Neurospora crassa OR74A: one gene and its partners. The protein of the gene in region 3 interacts with the protein of the main gene of each other region in a biochemical or structural test. Links are inferred from orthologs where the notes say so. Each region holds a gene or a part of one and is shown on either strand. Other genes may lie near its edges.

Region 1 (6,120 bases), on a different chromosome or scaffold from region 3:
GTAACAACATGATCGCCAACTTCAATCAACAACTACCATCAATAGTGTCCGCTTTCGCTATTTGTGAGCACTATGTATATGAAGTGATGTTCTGATATACCAGTCCCAGTGTCTTTGGTCTTGAGCGGGACACAATCGGTGAAACTTGGTCGCATATGATGTGAGACAGAGAGACCAGAAGTGAACAGGGGTTGGAAATGGCGGTAACTTTTTCGCAGTTCATCACATCTTCCAGTCTGGTAGCCCCGAGGTCACTCGCTCCCCGTTGATCGCCGGGATTCACGGGAGCTCAGAATGGCCATGCTTCTATACCGTTCCCAAGAGCCGTTCGTTACTAATCCGTTTTCTCCCCTGATCCATCTGCTTGCAAATGCTGCCAAAAGTTCCTCTGAAACAAAGCAAGAAAGATCCATACCTACAGCCTCTGATTGATCATAAGACCTGAGCAGCTTTGGGCTTAAGGACCTTGCACGACTACATTTATGTGACATTCCGGGTTGCTCGGCTGCCTAACCCTTTTCCACCTCATCTTGAGTTTGGTTTCCAAGCAAACGTCGGGCTGTGCCCCGTGTTTTGTAAAAAAAAAAATACTTGACATTGCTTATAAGTTTAACAATGAAACAAATCACTGCCCAACTCCTATGTGAAAATGTACCTAGGTAGCTCAAGTCACAAATATGGATAGACTAAACACAAGATAAAGAAAAAAAGACTTTGAAAGCCCATTGTCCAGCGACTGAGCACTTGGCTGTCACCTCTACGCTCAGTCTTACCCACCAATGGGTCAATCACAGCCGCGACACAACCGCTTAACTGAACCTGCCTCTATGCTGCATTTGCTATATTCCCGTTGCCCAAGCCAAAGTTTCTACCTCTCTTTTACTTTGTCTATCTCCTGCTGCTGTTGTCTTGAAGACTGCTCGCGAATGATGGGTCCTTAACACTGCCACCCGCATCCCCGAGACCAGCAATAGGACGGTTGTAACTGAAGCCCGTGAACTGGTTCTGCATCGTCTCTGACAGAATCGGTCCTTCCACGTAAGAATCCTGAGGAAGTTCCGATGTGAACTCAGGGTCGAAGTTGGCGGTGTCGAGCGCGTCAACCTATAGTCACCGTAGTTAGCACATTGAGCTTGTTCAACCGGTGAGTAGGCAGCGCTCTTGATACTTACCACATTGGGCTTGAACGCAGGCTCGTACTTGCGCTGCAACAACTTGCGCCAATCTATGGCGTGGAAGAAGGGGTGCGCCTTGATCTCGGCCGCCCCGTTGGCACCGAGACGTTGTTGCGGGTCGCGGTTGAGCAGCTTGGTCAAGAGGTCCTTGGCAGCTGGGGGTACAACCTCGGGTCCGGGGAAGTGCAGCGGTTCGCTGAGGATCTTGCGGTACATCTCGTTGGTGTTCTCATCGTAGAAAGGCGGGAGACCCGTCAACATCTCGTACAAAAGCACACCCAATGTCCACCAATCGACAGTCTTGTTGTAACCATTACCCATCAGCAATTCGGGCGCCAAATACTCAGGGGTGCCGCAAAATGTGTTGGTGCGGTCCTCATCCTTCATGTCCAGCTTGCAGAGACCGAAATCGCAGAGAGCGATGTGACCTTGGTAGTCGAGAAGAATGTTTTCCGGCTTGAGATCACGGTAAATGACGTTGAAACCGTGAAGGCATTCGAGCGCACACAGCAGTTCGGCCGTGTAGAAACGACTGCGGTTGACGTCGAATCGCTGCTCTTTCTGCAAATGATGGAACAGCTCACCACCATTGACAAAGGCGAGGACAAAGTATAGCTTCTCGGGACTCTGGAAGGTGAACTTGAGCGGCACGATAAACGGGTTGTTGATCTGGGCCAGAACGGATCGCTCAGCGAGCGTGTGGGCGACTTCGGAACGCGAGATGATGTGCGCCTTGCGAATCGTCTTGAGAGCGTAAATACGGTTCGTGTCCTTCTTGCGCACCTGCATGACCTTACCAAACGAGCCCTTGCCGACAACCTTGAGGAGCTCGAAATCCTCAATCTTGAGCTTACCGGCGCGGTTCTCCACATACTCGACGCCGATCTTGAGCTTTCCGGTACCATACTGAACGTCGACCCACTCCACACCGCTGTGTCCGAGGGCGCGCTCCTTGTTGGCAAAGTCGGCGGCGGCCTTTTCCCGGTCCTTCTTGCTGGCCTTGGGGTCATCGACGAACTGCTGCTTCTCCTCGAATCTGGGGTTAATACGGACAACACCAAGGAAGATGTCTTGGCTGCGGCCGGAGCCAGGCGCCGCGTTGGGGTTCCTGATGTAAAGATGTACGGCAAGCTCCGTAACTCGAGACACATCGAACTTGTACTGAGTGTTGGAGCCGGCCCAGAGGGGGTTTTCGGGGTTGCCTTCGACCGAGTTGACAAAAACTTGAACCTTGTCAAAATCTATGAGGGCATAGGGCATATACTTTGTGGAGATACGGCCGTGATTTGTAGGAATGGCGCCAAAGCCGCCCGAGCTCTGTGGGCGCGAAGAACCGCTCAGGAAGTTGGCTGTTCGTGACGAGTTGTTGGTGCGAATGGAGCCTGCAACGTTAAGGGCACTTCCCGTCGACATCGAGTTACCGCCATGGTTTGAGGAAAAGACATTGCGATACTGTTCGGGTAGCGAGAAGCCGGAACCCTCGTGGAGGGTGACGACGAGGATACCGGGCTTAGGAGGCTTGACGATGGGAGCTTGCGTAAGGGCTTCCGAGGCGGCTGTGAAAGGAAAAGAGGTTAATCTTGTGATGGCCGAGTGAACAAGACGGGCTGAGCGCCTACCAATGGTGTTCTCGTTCGAAGGGGTGGCTGCTCCCGAGCTGCCCGCTTGGCTCTTGTCTTCCTTATCTGTGATGGTGGAGGTAGAGGGCGAGCGGGAGAAGGGGCTTGAAAGAGGACCCAAATGGGTCTCCTTCAGCTCTGGTGTGCCAACATGTCAGATATGGTGTTCTGCCGTGGGGAAAGGGAAAGGGAAAAGGCGCGGGTTCGCCGACATACTCTTTGTGAGTTTCCACGACATTTTGCTGTCTGGCAGAAACCTAAAAGGGGAATGGACGTAGGTAGGGTGGACCAGCCGTAGGATACGAAAGGACTGAGGTTGGACGCCAATAGGAGGTTTGACGGATAGGAGAAGATCTAGGATAAAAGCGACGAAATACGAAGCGACGAGGCTAGGAAGAGAGTAGTAGGTATGACAGGTAGGCTGGGTGACGTGACAGCGGGCGGCTTCGATGTCGGCGTCGGCGTCGAGGTTGGTGTCGGTGTCGATACCTCCGAGGGGGTCGGTGTCAACAGAAGAAGTGGACTGTAAGGGCGAGAAGGCGCCAGGAGAAAAGGAGGCCTGGCTGTCCGGAAATCCAAGACTCTAATCGACCGAGGGCGACAGACTAGGAGGCAACTACTGTTTGGCGCAGCAGCAAGGTGGTGTGAACAAGACTCGTGTTTAGAGTTGGATGGATGGATGTTGCAAGTAAGTCGGGTCTAGGTAGAGGGGGGTTGTGTTGTAGAGGTACAACGAACAAGACGACGGGACGGAGGGAACCTCGACACAAAGCGGAAGGCGGACAGCGAGATGCCACTGCGGTGATGACGGGAGGATCGATAGAATCCCAAGGTGTCGGGCGGGAGTCGGGGGGGTGTTCGCCTGGCGGGCGGGAGTGCGTGCTGCTGCTGTCCAGGTAGGGGCCAGGTGGTGCAGTGGGTGGTGAGGTGGGCTGTGTGGGCGTGGTGCCCCTGGACGCGGTTGACAGCGGCGGGAGCGCAGCAGGATGGAAATGGAATGCCTGGTGTGTTCAGCCGGCGGGATCCTTGTTAGTGGCTGATGCGGGACCCAGAGGTGGAGGAGATAATCTGGTCCCGTCTCCTGCAGGTGGTCAGGTCGCTGGGCCTGTCTTGCCCTGCCGCGGGCCCCGCTCTCTCTCCTTTTTGGACCCATTGATTCGCGGCAGGCCTGTTAGGCCAGGGGGTCAGCTGGGGGGGGGGCTATCGCTAACAAAACCGAACATAAGCACTGCCCTGGTGGATGGAAAAGACGGGAAGTCGGGTGCTGCTGACAAGTGGAAAGTGGGGTACTAATTGCCCGCCGGGGTCCAGTTTCTGCTTGGCTGTCCGCAGTTTCGCAAGTCAGTCAAATCTCTCCCAAGATCGAATCACCGTCACAGACACTCTGCCATTGAGACGATCACAACAAGCCGACAAGATGAGGGAATGGAGAGACCTCCAAAATCCAATATGCGCTAACAGCCCGACTTGTCAGATGCGGCCCGATGCCCAGGGAACAAACCTGACGGGTTCTGTGCTTCAGAGCCATGCCAGCCATGCGTCTTTCTGGTCGTGTTTGAGGCTGATGGAACAAGCGGCGACAAAATGCCACTAAAAACTGGACAACCTCTCTTCCACAGCACTTTGATTGTCACCACGTTGCTAATTTTGGGTTCCAATTTTCTTGGGCTCATCGGCCGCAATCACCGTTTACGACACCCGCAAGATTGCCCGACGAACTTGCAGTATAAATCTGTCGACAGGATCTCCGCTTCATCTACATACACGCAGACACACGCTGTAGCAAGGGTACAAGTCAGACCCACGAGGCCGAGTCCCTGGACACGCCCTGGGGGGCCAACCTGGAACGTCTGGTCGATCGACACCAAGTCGACGTTTCACCTTGTTATAGCAAGCCAGAGCTATCCTGCTACAACTGATCTCGGAGACTTTCCATATCCAAAGAGGACGTGATTGATAATGATGGGCAAGATAAAACAAGACTTGGTGGCTACGACATTGGCGGTGCCAGGGTGCGTCTAACCAAAACCTGAGACATCTCTTGCCAGCTCTTGATCGGTTTCATATGCGGACTGCGGAGAGCCACCAAAGAGGGGCAGAGGGGCAAAAAATAACGAAGAAAGATCCCCCTACCAAAACAACAGGGGAAGTTCAGGGAATTGTCAGGTTGTTCCTCGACCTCTCCATGATAGCTAGGATCTGTCACGTGGTCATCAGCCAGGAGGACCCGGCTACTTGACTAGGCTTCTAGGGTCGTTGTTGCTCGGCCATCGATGCCGAGGATTGATTCGATTTCTATCTCTTTTTCAGCCTGGAGCACCCAAAAATAACGGTTCTCGATTGAGGATGGCAATTCAAGCTGACATTGCTTTCCACTCCTCCAATTCTCCAAACCCTCGAGTTCTGAAAGACATTGCAGTACTTGGGAAAACCAAATCCCGATGATGGGTTGGTCACGAAGTCGGTGTGTTCTACCCGTACATCAAAAACACTCGTCCTTCGCAACTGTTCGTTCGCCATATACTGCCGTTGAGTTTCCATCTCAAGTCATTTGTCATCTTTGATTGCCAGCAAAATGCTTCACCCCCTTTATTTACCGATCTTCACTTCACCCTTCCTCGTTCCGGCCGTACTCTGAAGCAAAACCAAAACCCTGATCACTGCCAAAGGCACAGTTGCCCAAAATAAGGTCCAGTCTGAGGTTTCCCATTCTCCAACTTTGATCCACTGACTCCATCCGCCTACCCCTTGTATCACGGACCAGCTATACCCAGCATCACTGAGGAGCATGCCGACACAGAGCAGCTGCCATAGACGCAGATCATCATACAGCCGAAGGATGACGGCTTGGATGAAGGCAAAGTACAGCCATCCACTCCCAATCTGCGTGTAGAGATATTGCGAGGGGGCATCGTAGGGCACAGATGCGCGCGTCATCATGGCCGCGTATTTCGCTGGCTGAAAGAAGACCATGAAAGCGCCGTTGATTGCGAAGAGGGGTTCGATATAGAGCAAGATGATTCGATAGAGAAACGGGATGGTAGCCGTAGCAGAGGCGGTGGGAGTCGGAGATGTTGGCGCCATGATGTTGTTGTTTGGAGAGACACCGGTGTAGTACGTATGTTTGTTTGAGGATAGTTCTTGGTTCAAGTGGCTGGGTTGAAGCAGAACCAAAATTGAAACTCAAGGTCAGAGGGCAGGTTTGCGGGGGGAAGAGGTTCACACTAAGTAAGCTGATGGGGGTCCACTTGCTCGGACTATCTACAAACAGACAGATAATATTATCAGTCAGCCAGTAAGCTGACAGCCGGTGATCATGCAAGGCC
Region 2 (6,327 bases), on a different chromosome or scaffold from region 3:
AGGATCTTCCTAATCTTAATCCTTATTGAAGTAGATTACTAGCGCGCTACTTCGAATACGGAATCGCTTTACGCTGGCGGGTTTTAAATTGAGGATTGTTTTGGGAGGCATTGTTGCGATGGATTTGATTGATTACTAGTATTGTAATTACTTTATACGTTGAAATAGCTTCAAATTGATGTAGAAATTGTTGTGAAATGATGAATTTTGACGAAGTTGTACAATACAGAAGTGCGGTGTGTGTGTGTGTGTGCACGCACACACACCTCTTGCCAAGACTGCACAGGCGATTGAGTGTGGGAAAGACAGACTCTTCTTGCTTGTGGGTGATATAATCTGTTATTTTCTGAATTTGAACCAAATCGTTAGAACTGAAACACCCCGCTTCGCTAATAACCACTCATACCACTCACTCACTGCCCATATTCACACACACCACACCAGCCTTACGGTGAACCACCACATCCGCTGGGAGCCCGAACGTCTTTCCACTATTTTCGAGGGATAATGAGCGTGGTGTCGTACCAAGGCACACTGAAATACACAGTCCTGTGTATTATTCAGTTACTTCCCAATTGACCAATTGCCTACTACCTTTCGTTGATCATGCACGATATCGTCGAACGAATCCGTCCTCCGCTGTCAGCCTTCTCCAAGCCAAATATGTAAGTACTTTTAAGGTACGATAGCAGATGTCGGTCCGGATTGGCGAGATAAAGCTCCTGTTACCGGTTTGTGTTGAAAATACAGACCGTTAAACAGGCAAAAAAAAGGTACGGCCCCGATGGAGTGTCTGGACGCCACACCACGCAACACCACGGTTGAGATACTGGGACTAGGAAGAGCTTCAGTGAGTGTATTGCAGGTATATAGCCTCCCTATGACGCCTGATCTGTCTTGTTGAGTGGTTCCCAATCCACTGACGTGATGCTCTTTTGATAGCTGAAATGTTGGGAGCCAACCGCTTGGTACAGGCTTGAGTGAGCTAGGCTTTTCTGAAAGCATTCTTCATTAGCGCTGTCAGCATGACGATGTCTGCAGTCCCATGTGCTGAGGTACCATTTGCTCAGTCTGATAAAAGCGAATGCCTACAATGTTGGGGGACATGTAATGCGGTGGTGTGAGCGCTTGTCGGAAAGAAAGACAGCCAAGAAGGCAACATGAGAAATCGATCAATGGCAACATAAATCCGAGCAGGGAGAAAGAAATGGAGCACATCAAAGATGAAGGAACAGCCGACATCACTTCGCATCTCCAAACGAAGGACCTGTGTTTGGACAGGGGAAAGTATGTACATGCGAGATTTATTGGAACAATGTCTTGCGCCTTTTCCCTGCCTGTGTACAGTACACTTCACACCACAACTCCCTAATATGCACCAGGGCTAACAGAAAGCCCCATCCCTTGAATGCCATTTGCTCTTCCAGATAACACCGAATCGTGTAATACAGAACTCCATTCCAATGTACTTCCTTTACCCATGACCCCTTTGAACGCTGTTCCCTAAAAACACAACCCTACATACAACAAAATGTAGGTATGGGGAATTTGATGTGTCGAATATCATGTTTCCGAGTATCCTGAAAGCAAAGTGGGATGCTATGATATGCTTCAGGTGTGATAATGACAGTTTGTTTCTGTCACCGTTTCGGTGTGTCGACCTCACTCGCTACTGGTAGAATCACAAAGACTGTACCCTTGCCACGAACTGCCCACTTTGAAGTCACCGAGATCCAACCGAACCTAAGCAGCCGGCTGCAAAACTTGGATAGTCGATCTGCTATTGCCTAACGCTCCTGCTTCGACCTTGGCGAACGTCCCTAGGCGTATCTGCTGCTGTCGCGGTATTTGCTCTTTGGCTTGGGGTTGTAGTCTTCAAAGTAAGGGTGATTGCACGCTGCCTTGGCAGAGATTCGGCCAGCAGGGTCGTAGACAAGCATGGATTCAAGTAGCTCAAGACCGACATCGTCGAGGTTTTGGCAAAGTGGTACGTTGTAGTCGCGTACCCACTTGGGGAAAGATGCCTTGAAGTCGGGATAGGAGGTGACGCCGGGCCAGATGTCCTCAGTAGGGGTTCCAAGCAGACTGTTTGGAGGAAAAGAGGTCAGTATAGCGGACTAGGGGAGAAGCAGAAAGGTGCCAAGAAAAGGTAACTGCATAAACGTACCGGAAGATCTTGAAGATCTCGTCAATTTCCGAATCACCAGGGAACAAGGGCTTGCGTGTGCACATTTCGGCAAAGATGCAACCAACGGACCACATATCGACACCGGTCGAGTACTGACGACCACCCAGCAGGATTTCGGGCGCACGGTACCACAATGTGACGACCTCGTGGGTATAAGTACGGAGTGGAACACCAAAGGCGCGGGCGAGACCGAAATCTGCTAGCTTCAAGTTGCCGTCGCGGTCGATGAGCAGGTTCTGGGGCTTGAGATCGCGGTGTAGGACACGGTGGCTGTGGCAGTATCGGACGCCCTCGCAAAGCTGGCTCATGAACTTCTTGATGATATCCTCGCCCAGTCCCAAATTGTGCAGTCCGGCGCCCGTTCCTTCGGGGAGGGCCTTGCCCCTACCACCGTCGCTGACAGGAAGGGCCTCCATGTACTTCTTCAGATCAAGATCGAGGAATTCGAAGACAAGATACAGCTTATGGCCTTGACCGCCGTCGGCGTGGACAATGTTGAGGAGACGCACAATGTTGGGGTCGCGCATCTCCTTGAGCAGCGAGATCTCACGGATGGCGGTAGAGGGGACGCCCTCATCTTCGGCTTCGAGGCGGATCTTCTTGAGGGCGACAATGCGCCCGCTGTTAGCCAAGTCGCGGGCCTTGTAGACGACACCATACGTTCCTATGCGGAAGGTGGAATGTCAGTACGGGACATGGAAGGAAGAGAGCCAAGGTGGAGGGGTCGAAGAAGAAGGGGGTGTTGTACCCTCGCCAATCTTTTCCAGCTTCTGATAGTTCTCCATGGTTGCTCTGTTACCCGTCCAGGCCGCTATACTGAGATGGGTGGTTTGAAAGTCCCTGGAGGGAAAGAATTGACTTTGCCCGGAGTCGTAGAACTACTAGTTGGGGTTGGTGCCTGGTGTTCGTGGTCGTCGTGGTGGGGGACGATTACGACGAACGATGTTGTACCTAGCGCGCTGAAGCACAGTGATTGATGGAAAAGCCCAGAACGAAGCGTGGGGCGGCGGCGGCGGCGGCGGCGGATGGAGAAAGTGACGGCCGTCGAAGGGTCGCCTTCTTGAGATTGATTGATCCTTGGAGAGTCAAGGTCCAGCCAAGGATAGGTGGTGTCCAAAGGGAGCGCAGTGGCGGATTGGTAAACAAAAACGAAAAAAGGTGGAATCGTCCGTCGTTGCCGTCAAAAGGCTACAGTACTAGCTACCGTAAATACTTTGTTTTGGTGTTGACTTTTGGTGGTGATGATGGTGCCGTGAATGGTCGACGGGTCGTCCTGGGCGGAGGGCTGAATGCGAAAGGCCGCTGATGAAAAGGCAATATGATGCAGCGAGCGATGTAATTGTCGTCCGTTGTTCCTGCAACTTCTTGATACTAAGGGACCGTGATGGTGAAGGGACAGAAATCCAAGGAAGGAGAGGCGGTGGACGTGCAAGTGGAAGTTGAGGTTGTGAAGTTGTGGTTGTCGTTCGAGTGTCGGATTTAGAGGGCAGTCCAGGGGGGTGGTCCGCTGTACTGTAGTGCAGTAGGTAGGTTTTATTCCAGACGGGCATCCGAGTGCAGGTGGTTGGAGACGGGACGATTACGTCTTAGACTTGGCGCTTGCAACGGAAATCCGTGTCAACACAAAAAGCGCGGACCGCGACGGCACCATGGAAACCACTCACTGGAGGGACGGACTGCAAGGGAGGAATGAACGCGTCCAAAAAATGCCCGCTTTCCTCGTCGGTAGGTACTCCGAGTTCAAGGTAGGTAGGTAAACTTTCAAGCAATCTAGGTACATATGTACCACCTCTACCTAGTTCTAGTAAGTACTACTACTTGGAGCATTGACTGTACCCGACAGCCCACCAAGATGGGGCAGAATACGTAGGTACCTTCTAGGTAGCCACGATCTCTAACTGTTGACTACCCCTGACTTGTGGCGCCATTCAGAAGCTCCAGCCATTCAGACGCCCAGCCCAGCCTCAGCTCGACGCCCACACATCAATCCATCTCGACCATCCGTCCCGTCTGAAGCTTCACTCGAGTCCCCACAATTTCATCTCACGATACTTCCCTACTCCAAATCCGCAACGTCACACGAGGACTCGGAAGGAGTCAACTTGTATACTCATATCCATTTCTTCGGTCACTTTTCTGTTCTCTTTTTGGATATCTCGCTCAAAAGAACTACCCGACTTTCAAGATGATGGGTGGACACCATGACCTGGATGCGCACGAGCAGCCGTCGGATGAGCTGCGGCTCAAGTGGAAGTCGTTCGCCAAAGTCGACCAGAAAATCGTCATGAACAGCCCCGAGATCGATGACTTGCGCAGTCCCGAAAAAGCCCCCGAGTTTGTGCTCGCTGGCTCCATTCCTACCGAGACTTTGAACAGGTCCTTCAGCTATATCTGCCCCGAAGACTCACCAGAGTTCCGCACAGACAAGGACGCCCCCATCTATTACCATCCTCTCTTGCCTGGTGAACTCAAGATCCTGGACCCCTCTTCCTCACGAATCATTGCTGACCAACCCCAAAAGGTCTCTTGATTCTCCCAAACCTCATTCCCCCCGAGGTCCAAAAGACGCTACTGCGCAACATCATTCACCGCGATCTCAACCAACCCCATCACCAGACCAACATGCATCTCCATTTCAAGCTCCCCTACCCGCCCGTGGATCCCGAAACAGGCCTTCAGGAATCCTTCTTCTCCTACCCTCCAGATTCCGAGACGTGTTTTGAGCCAAAGGACCCTTCTGTACACAAGCCTCTCACTTTTCAACAAGTCTTCAACCGCAAGCTACACTGGGTCACCCTAGGTGGACAGTATGACTGGACGAATCGCGTTTACCCGGGCGAGCTGCCCCCCGAGTTTCCCAAAGACATTGCCGGCCTTTTGGAGACCCTGTTTCCCGAGACTCAGGCCCAAGCGGCCATTGTCAATTTCTACACCCCCGGCGATACCATGATGATGCACCGCGATGTGTCAGAAGAGACCGACAAAGGCCTGGTCAGCTTGAGTATAGGCTGTGATTCGCTCTTCATGATTTGTCCCGAGGACTGGGGCAAGGTGTCGGAAGACGAAAAGCAAAAGGGATCCGCAGAAAATGAAAGTGGCAAGAGCGACAAGAAGTTCTTGCTGCTAAGGCTACGGTCTGGCGATATCATTTACATGACTAAGGAGTCCAGGTTTGCCTGGCATGGTGTACCCAAAATCTTCAAGGGCACCTGTCCCGAGTGGCTGGAGGATTGGCCCGCCGAAGATGGAAAGTATGAGGCTTGGAGGGGCTGGATGAAGAACAAGCGCATCAATATTAATGTTAGGCAGATGAGGGACTGAGCCGAAGAACGCCACTATCTTCAACCACATGTTCAGTCAACAGAATGCCAAGTGGACAAAGGCCGTCATAAAGCCATGGCCGTCACCATCCCACTTTTGAACTGTCTATGTCTCGTTTTCCAGGACACTTTGTTTCCCCTTTTACCACTCGCCATTAGAGTTTTCCTGAGACCAAGTTTACTGCCCATACCTTGAAACCATGAAATGACAAGCGTCCATGACTAGAGGTTGTGTGTGCTCGCTTATCACATTTGTCCACTTATGTAATCTTTCATCATCACAAACATATCAACATGTCACGCGGCAGAGATCTGGGGATTTCCCCATTATCAAGGTTGATTCTGGTTTTGCTATGAGGTAAAAACGAGCTGAATCACAACATGCTCGATGAAGCGGCGGACGCAAAGCGTACTCAGCGGACATAAGGGCTTGGGCGATGGATTGGATCATCATCCTTGATATTCATGACGAACTCATTTTAGACAGCAACACCGTTTATCAAGTGATACGATAGGGTGACTGTCGCTTTAGCACTATCATATATCATTGTACCTGAGTCGTTCTGTCTCAGGAACTACGGTCGTTTCATTTGCTACTTAGTTAGTTGAAATGGTAAGCATCATATCTAGGCCTGGAAATATACCATATCTTCATTTCACATCAAGTTGGCCAAGTCTGTGCCAGTCCCATGTTTTCTTTTGTGAATACATGCGCTTGTCGACATCATATGTTTGAAAGCAAGACATGATTGTTAACTCCCCCATGATACGATATCCCCCCTATGCAGCACATGCCAGAGTAGAGACTAGCCATCTCTT
Region 3 (6,120 bases):
ATAACTGGAAACAAACAAGAGGGTAAAAACTCATACATGCTGAGTATCTTATATTAGGTAGTCATCTGATTGATATCGACCAGCTACTGGCTAGTAAATGCTACGGCTCTGCGCGGTTTTGATGGAAATCCTTCGCGGATTAAAAAACTCCTGTGTGCGATGCGAGTCACTATGAGTTCTGACACTCCCAGTCCTACTTTCTTCCATCATAACATCCTTGAATTTCTCAACCAAGCGCCCCGGGCTGTCCATATGTGTGTCTATACATCCATCCTCTTGGTTTCTGATCTGTCCAAACACATCTGCCTGGCCTCCCTGATATGCACCCGCATTCACAGTATTGGAAAAGAACAACCGGGACGCAGGAAACACAAAGACCCTGGACACAAACGAAGAACAAAATAGAACGCATTTTGGGATATCGATATGAAAACCAACTAGACCGCCGACAGAAACACCGTTGGGTAGCTAGCAGCGATGCCGAAAAAAAAGATAATGACCCCAGTGCAGAACGATCTTGAACTGACGTGACCTGACCCAACCCAACCCAATTTGATGGAAAAGATGTGAAATGCAACATTGTGACTCGATGTTTCCCAACTTTCGGCCATCCAGTCCTCCTTTACTCCCATTTGTGTTTTGTTCCTGCTGCACTCAAACCATTGCCCGCATTCAGAACCAGTGAAATAATACAACTTAGACGTAAGAAGCAGAACAAGAATGACAAAAAAAGAGAATCATTTGCCCCGAAAGCAGGAAGCTATTAGGCTTTCCTGGAAATTGAGATGATCCAGTCCAACCATCCCTTGTGGTATCACACAAGACACGAACTAAGGAATTAATACCACGTAACGAATAGCCTTGGGGGGGGGAAAGGAAAAAAAAAACTTGAATTAATGATGATAAATTCATAAAGCAAACGACAAGAAAGAATTGAAGAGAAGGATGATGATGCAAAATGTGTGAATAGAAGAAGCCCACTCAAATGATGCGTAAATGGCCCTAGCCGCGTTCTTGTATATATCGCGACATCGGTATTGTAGTTGCCCTCTCGACTCCATGCCCTTTTAAGAGCTCAGTGGCGCCATAGAGGGCACATCGCCATTTCCAGCCGGCTGAACCTCCTTGCCACGACTGACAGGAGCATGATAACTACCGATGCTTTGAAATCCCCTAAAACGTAAAGATTTAGTATACATGGCGAACCACTAGAGTCGAGAGTTGCACTTACTTTGTAAGATCGAAAGCCCGGTCCTCCTCTTCCTCGGCAGGGCTCGGGGATTCTTCTACGCCGACCGTGGCGCCCCGGCTGGTTGTTCTCGACGGACTTGCACTCCCGGCAGGCGACTTACTCCGCGCCGGTGGTGGGGGGCTGCTGCTCTGCGATGGCAGGTTCCCGTGTGTTTTGGAGGGGCTGGCGTCGTACTGAGCAGGCTTTAGCGGCGTACTTGAAATATCGGCATATCTCCAGAACGGGGCGGGTGAGCTAGTCGGCATGTGTTGACTAGGCCGTTGGGCCGTGCTGGGGGGTACAAGCCGGGGATTAACTCGGTTTGGAGCCGGCGTAACGAGAGACGCACCGTCTTCCTGCAGGTACGACGGTCCCAACGTCGGCGATGCAGGCGTATCCTCCACTATCCCCAATGTACTCATTGTCGCAGGCTTCCGGATCGTCGACAGCGGGCTAGCCTCCGTGCCATCCTCTGCTTTGTCAGGGAGAGGTTTGCGCTGGGCGGCGCGCACAGGCGTTGATTGCGAGTCGCGCAGTGTTGGGTGCGGTTGTGGCTGTGGCGAGTCAGAAGGCGAAATCTTCCGCTTACGAGACGACGCAGGCTCCTTAGCGGCCATGTCCTTCGGACCCTGCGTGATGTAATTCAGCCCGCTAGGAGAAGCTGGGTTAGAGGTGCCTCTATGTCCACCACGACCGCCTCGGTACGCATTGCGTATCATATCTTCACGGGCGTCGGCAACAATCTGCCACTTCATGCCTTTGCCAGGCTCGTCTGTCGACCTTGCGACCTTCTCGAATGACTTGTTCAACGAAAGATTGTGTCGAATCGAGTTCTGGAGTAACATATATGTCAGCTATCCAAGTACGCGAGGGTACAGCAACCGCTGGAGAAACATACCTGCCAGCCACCAGCGGGTTGATGCCTATAGTATGAGTAGCGGTTCATGATGAACTGATAGATGCCGGAGAGATTGAGCTTCTGGTCTTCCGTGTTCACGATCGCCTGCGTGATCATTTGTGCATAGCTGAACTGTGGCTTGATGTGTTGGTTTTCGTCGAGACTAAGATCTACCTCGTTGTTGGTCATGACAAGCGGACCTGCCAGACCTTCGTGAACCGGCCTGTGCATCGGCGGTCGGGGAAGGTTAAGGGGAGGAGTGACGCCTCTCCTGTAGTCTGGAGGAGCTGGAGCCAATGCCTTCTGCGGTCCTTGGTTTCGGGGGGCGGCCTTGCTAGTCGGAGACACGGCCTGAAAAGCATGCGATTCTCCTGCTGAGGGAAGGGGATGGCGAGCTTGGCGAGGAGAAACCTGCGAGTCTGGGGGAACGATGCCGGCTCGCTCGAGATAGTCCCTTTTGATTTGAAGAGCACTAATATCGGCAGGCAGAACAAACATCATCTCCATACCGCCAATCTCGATGACCTCGCCACTTCTCAGAGGCCCCTCGTCGCCCACTTTCCACGGGACACCATCAACCTTGAGCGCATTGCGGCCCTTGACGCGCAACCACCACTGCTCCTCTGTGGACTTGAAGTAGATAAGAGCATGCTGGCGAGAAACCTGCTTGTTGGGGCCAAGGTCGATGTGTACCACTTTGCTGGGGTCTTCCTCCTGGCTCTGGCCGGTGGTAGCTTGTATAGGTTCGGAGGAGCGACCGATATTGACATTGAGGCTCATGATGTAGTAGGTCCAGTCATTGGCCGCGATTTTAGCAAAGGCCTGAACGCCCTGGCTCGACTCGTGGATGCTGTTGGAGTGGTCCTTGCTAGCCTGAACATTCTTGGGCATCTCAAGATACTGTATGACGCGTGCCACCACCTGGTCATCGTCGTTCATGTCTAGAGCTGACTGGTCGGCAACTAATGACGAGTCGGCCTCGTCGGCGAGATCGGTCGGCGCATCGTCGTCCTGCAGCGAAGACAAAAAGTGCGTGGTTAGTGGGGGTCAGGCAGCCTATGGGGTAGTCAAAGAAAAGTAACAAAGCGTGGCAAAGGAGAGCGATGTGCGGGAGCAGGGTGCGCCTTACCTTCTTGCGACGCTTCGAGGGCCGTGAGGGCGACGAGTCTCCAGTAACTGGATCGCTGAGATTGTGCTGGTCGGCAGTGTTGAAGCTCGCGGTATGCTTCGGTGGTGAAGGCGACATTGTGTGCGTGGGCGAAAGCGCTAGCACATGCGCTTGAGGTAGAGAGGTCTGATGGAGCTCGGGGATCGGAGGGGTTGAGGAGGTCGTAAGTAAACAGAGAGGTCAGGGGCCCGGGTGGTGGAAGTGGGTAGACATCTACCGAGACCAATGTTTGGGTGGTGTAGCGGAGGGCGACTTTGGCAGACGTAATCAAGATTGCCAGATCAGAGGGCGGCGCAGGTGCCGGATTCGTGTGCGTGCGGTTGCGGGCGAGGAAGGTCGTGAAGTGTGGACGAAGATCAATTGCGACAAATTTATTGAACTTCAAAGTTCCATCGATTAGTTGGAACCGGTTCCCCAGTCCCCTGCGTTGATGGCAGATGCTGCAAGGGGCCGCCAAGCCTTGGACCTTCCAATTACCAATGTCTGCAGGCCGGGGCAGTCAGACAACGTCAACAAGTTGGTTGAAGACAATGGAAGGGGGCCTCGGGGTGGTCAAAGGGCGCTGTGAGACTGATGGATAGCAGCGCGGCGATATTGGGACACTTTCTTTCTTTCCTTCTTTGAAGCTTCAACTTTTGGCTGGATGCGTGAGCTCCTCGGTCGTGGGGGGGTAAGAAGAAAGAAAATCAGTTTTTCTCGGATTCAAGGTAATCAAGATTGGACACTGTACAACTCGAGAGCAGAGAGGTTGCAGTGGTCGAATGCGGCCCTGGGTTTCGGGGTAGTATGGTAGATAGCTGCTGTAGTAGGCAGGAGGTTTTTTGTATTTGAAGACACCACGCACAGCAAAAAGGTGAGAATGATTTGTTTAATTGACCCGGCGACGCTTTCTCCAAATCCCAGGTTTTTCGCGTGCGCAACTGGAAGGCATGCGCAGAATGCGGATTGAAGCAGGCACAGGCCAGTCACTGGCCAATGACTGCGTCAGATTACTGGGATTTTAGCGGGGCAGAGGTGGAGCATTCACGTGTTCAAGCTTCCGTCCACTCTGTTCGTCATCACTCCTTTCAAGGTAAGTAGGTATGTAACTGAAGTAACGCAACGCAACCTAACGCCGTTCGGTGCAGTGTGGTCAACAACGGACACTCCTTCGATTAAGTCCCGCATGCACCCCCCCCCCCCCCACATCCCCAACTGTAATTTATGTTGCAACAACAAAGTTGAAAAAGCAAACCAAAATGTTGCTCCAAGATTGACATCAAATGTATTGCCAATATCCGATGTCCGATGAAATATGCAAGATGCAAGCAAAGCCCCATGCCATTTTCAGACACCGCAAACAAAGCAATCACCACGCATCCTTCGGTCGCTTGTCGAAGGTTTGTTTACATCAATCAGGGGGGTGACGAATGAAGCAATCATGGATCTTCTTCTCTCTTGGCCGGGGTGGGGGTTTGGGGGGGTTAAGTACTGTACACTTGGCATCGAAGAAGCACCGTTTGAGAGTTGTCTTTTCCACACCGTGACTCTTTCGTCCGTCCAGTCCTGTCTCCTTCCGCAGCACTCCAATGGGCAACTACACTACATACACTACTAGGAAGTCAATTTAGCAGACGGGAATGGATGGCAGATGCCCGGCTGGGGCAGTCTGGGGGCAGAAGCGGGTACCTCAGCAGCTCCAAGCCTCGATCAGATTTAGGCGTGCCCCCTGCTGTTAGGGGGTTGGCGGGGTTTGCTAGGATGGGAATTTCAAGGTTGGGGCTTTTGGTGACAATTTGGAGAAATTTCCATAACCCGAATTACACATTTCGCACAATCATCGCCTTCGTCGCCTTGGGCTCTGAAGAAGAAAGAGATATCAATTTTATATGGCAGGTGCTTTCGAGCTCGTCTTCGTTATACCGCTGAAATGGCAATCCGGCACTGCACCCGAAAGTAGTATCCATAGCAGTGTCGAGAACGACAGAAAAAGGGGGAAGCGGACGTATCATTATACACACTGTGCAAGTAAACAAACTTCCCATGCTCCTTTTTCTACTTTCCCTTCTCACGTATCGTCTTGGATCATCATGTTGGCCCCTGATCTCCAGCGCATGCTGCCGCCAGCTGTTTGACCCTCTTTAGTCACTTGGTGTACTGTTTGCTGTATCCTGCGAACGCTTCCTCTGAAGCAAGTTCATCAACCAGCCCTTCCCAACTAACACAACCCCGAGCCATGAGGCAGAAGTTGAAAGGTGGGTGCATTTTGTTCAAGCCAACGGAGCCGTTCTATATACAAAGGTTCCGTGAACGCACTCAAAATTAGATGCTCGCTCATCCCATCATGAAAAGAAAAACATAAGAAACTCTAAGAAAAAAGAAAAAAAAGTGGGGTGTGTCTGTATGCTTCGTTGCCTCCTCTTCTTGACCGCTTTATAAATGCTTCTAACGTACTGCCTTTCCCTTTTATTTTCCCGTTTCTGAAACATTGCTCTCCATATACAAGGATATCTCCATGACTTGTTGAGTCTTTTCCACGTGGCCGCCCTTATCATGTGTTAATACAAGTATATACAGAGTGCTTTTTAAAAAGACGCCAACCAGCCAAGAGAATTCCAAAATAATTCCCCACAAGCCCAGGAACGCCAGCCATATCCGGTGCCTAACTTTTCTTCGATGATGATGATGATGGATAACAATGGATGATCATATACATCAAGTAACAGTTCAGTCAAAGAGCAATGACGTGGCAGTCATGGTACCATCGATCACAGAAACATGACAGGGTCAACACGTTTAGGCCTTGCCGCCACGCTTCTTAGGGTTGCTGGGTCCCTTGGACTT

The links.
Region 1: of the proteins of NCU00019 (region 3) and stk-50, one has a biochemical effect on the other in vitro, tested with the Schizosaccharomyces pombe proteins (3 studies listed by BioGRID). The link is inferred for Neurospora crassa OR74A from reciprocal best matches to the Schizosaccharomyces pombe genes fkh2 and gad8.
Region 2: of the proteins of NCU00019 (region 3) and cdc28, one has a biochemical effect on the other in vitro, tested with the Schizosaccharomyces pombe proteins (2 studies listed by BioGRID). The link is inferred for Neurospora crassa OR74A from reciprocal best matches to the Schizosaccharomyces pombe genes fkh2 and cdc2.

Annotation. Positions count from the first base shown.
Region 1 is NC_026504.1:4,535,146-4,541,265, forward strand, and holds stk-50 (serine/threonine-protein kinase gad8), read right to left. Parts: upstream 3,691-6,120; 5' UTR 3,033-3,690; coding exon 3,011-3,032; intron 2,933-3,010; coding exon 2,795-2,932; intron 2,732-2,794; coding exon 1,173-2,731; intron 1,105-1,172; coding exon 889-1,104; 3' UTR 471-888; downstream 1-470. Other genes in the region: NCU07279 (hypothetical protein), read right to left, coding at 5,384-5,878. UniProt on the Schizosaccharomyces pombe protein: Involved in a signaling module for sexual development and cell growth under stressed conditions. Required for G1 arrest under nitrogen starvation and for growth at high temperature and osmolarity.
Region 2 is NC_026506.1:1,087,851-1,094,177, forward strand, and holds cdc28 (cell division control protein 2), read right to left. Parts: upstream 3,691-6,327; 5' UTR 2,974-3,690; coding exon 2,937-2,973; intron 2,853-2,936; coding exon 2,168-2,852; intron 2,086-2,167; coding exon 1,821-2,085; 3' UTR 1,235-1,820; downstream 1-1,234. Other genes in the region: NCU09779 (oxidoreductase), read left to right, coding at 4,374-4,650, 4,710-5,509.
Region 3 is NC_026503.1:2,311,463-2,317,582, forward strand, and holds NCU00019 (FKH1), read right to left. Parts: upstream 4,184-6,120; 5' UTR 3,376-4,183; coding exon 3,259-3,375; intron 3,141-3,258; coding exon 2,130-3,140; intron 2,065-2,129; coding exon 1,232-2,064; intron 1,174-1,231; coding exon 1,068-1,173; 3' UTR 124-1,067; downstream 1-123. Other genes in the region: NCU00021 (hypothetical protein), read right to left, coding at 6,073-6,120. UniProt on the Schizosaccharomyces pombe protein: Required for promoter sequence element PCB-driven, M-phase-specific transcription. Acts as a transcriptional activator with a role in the regulation of mitosis. Binds, cooperatively with mcm1, the CLB cluster regulatory elements throughout the cell cycle.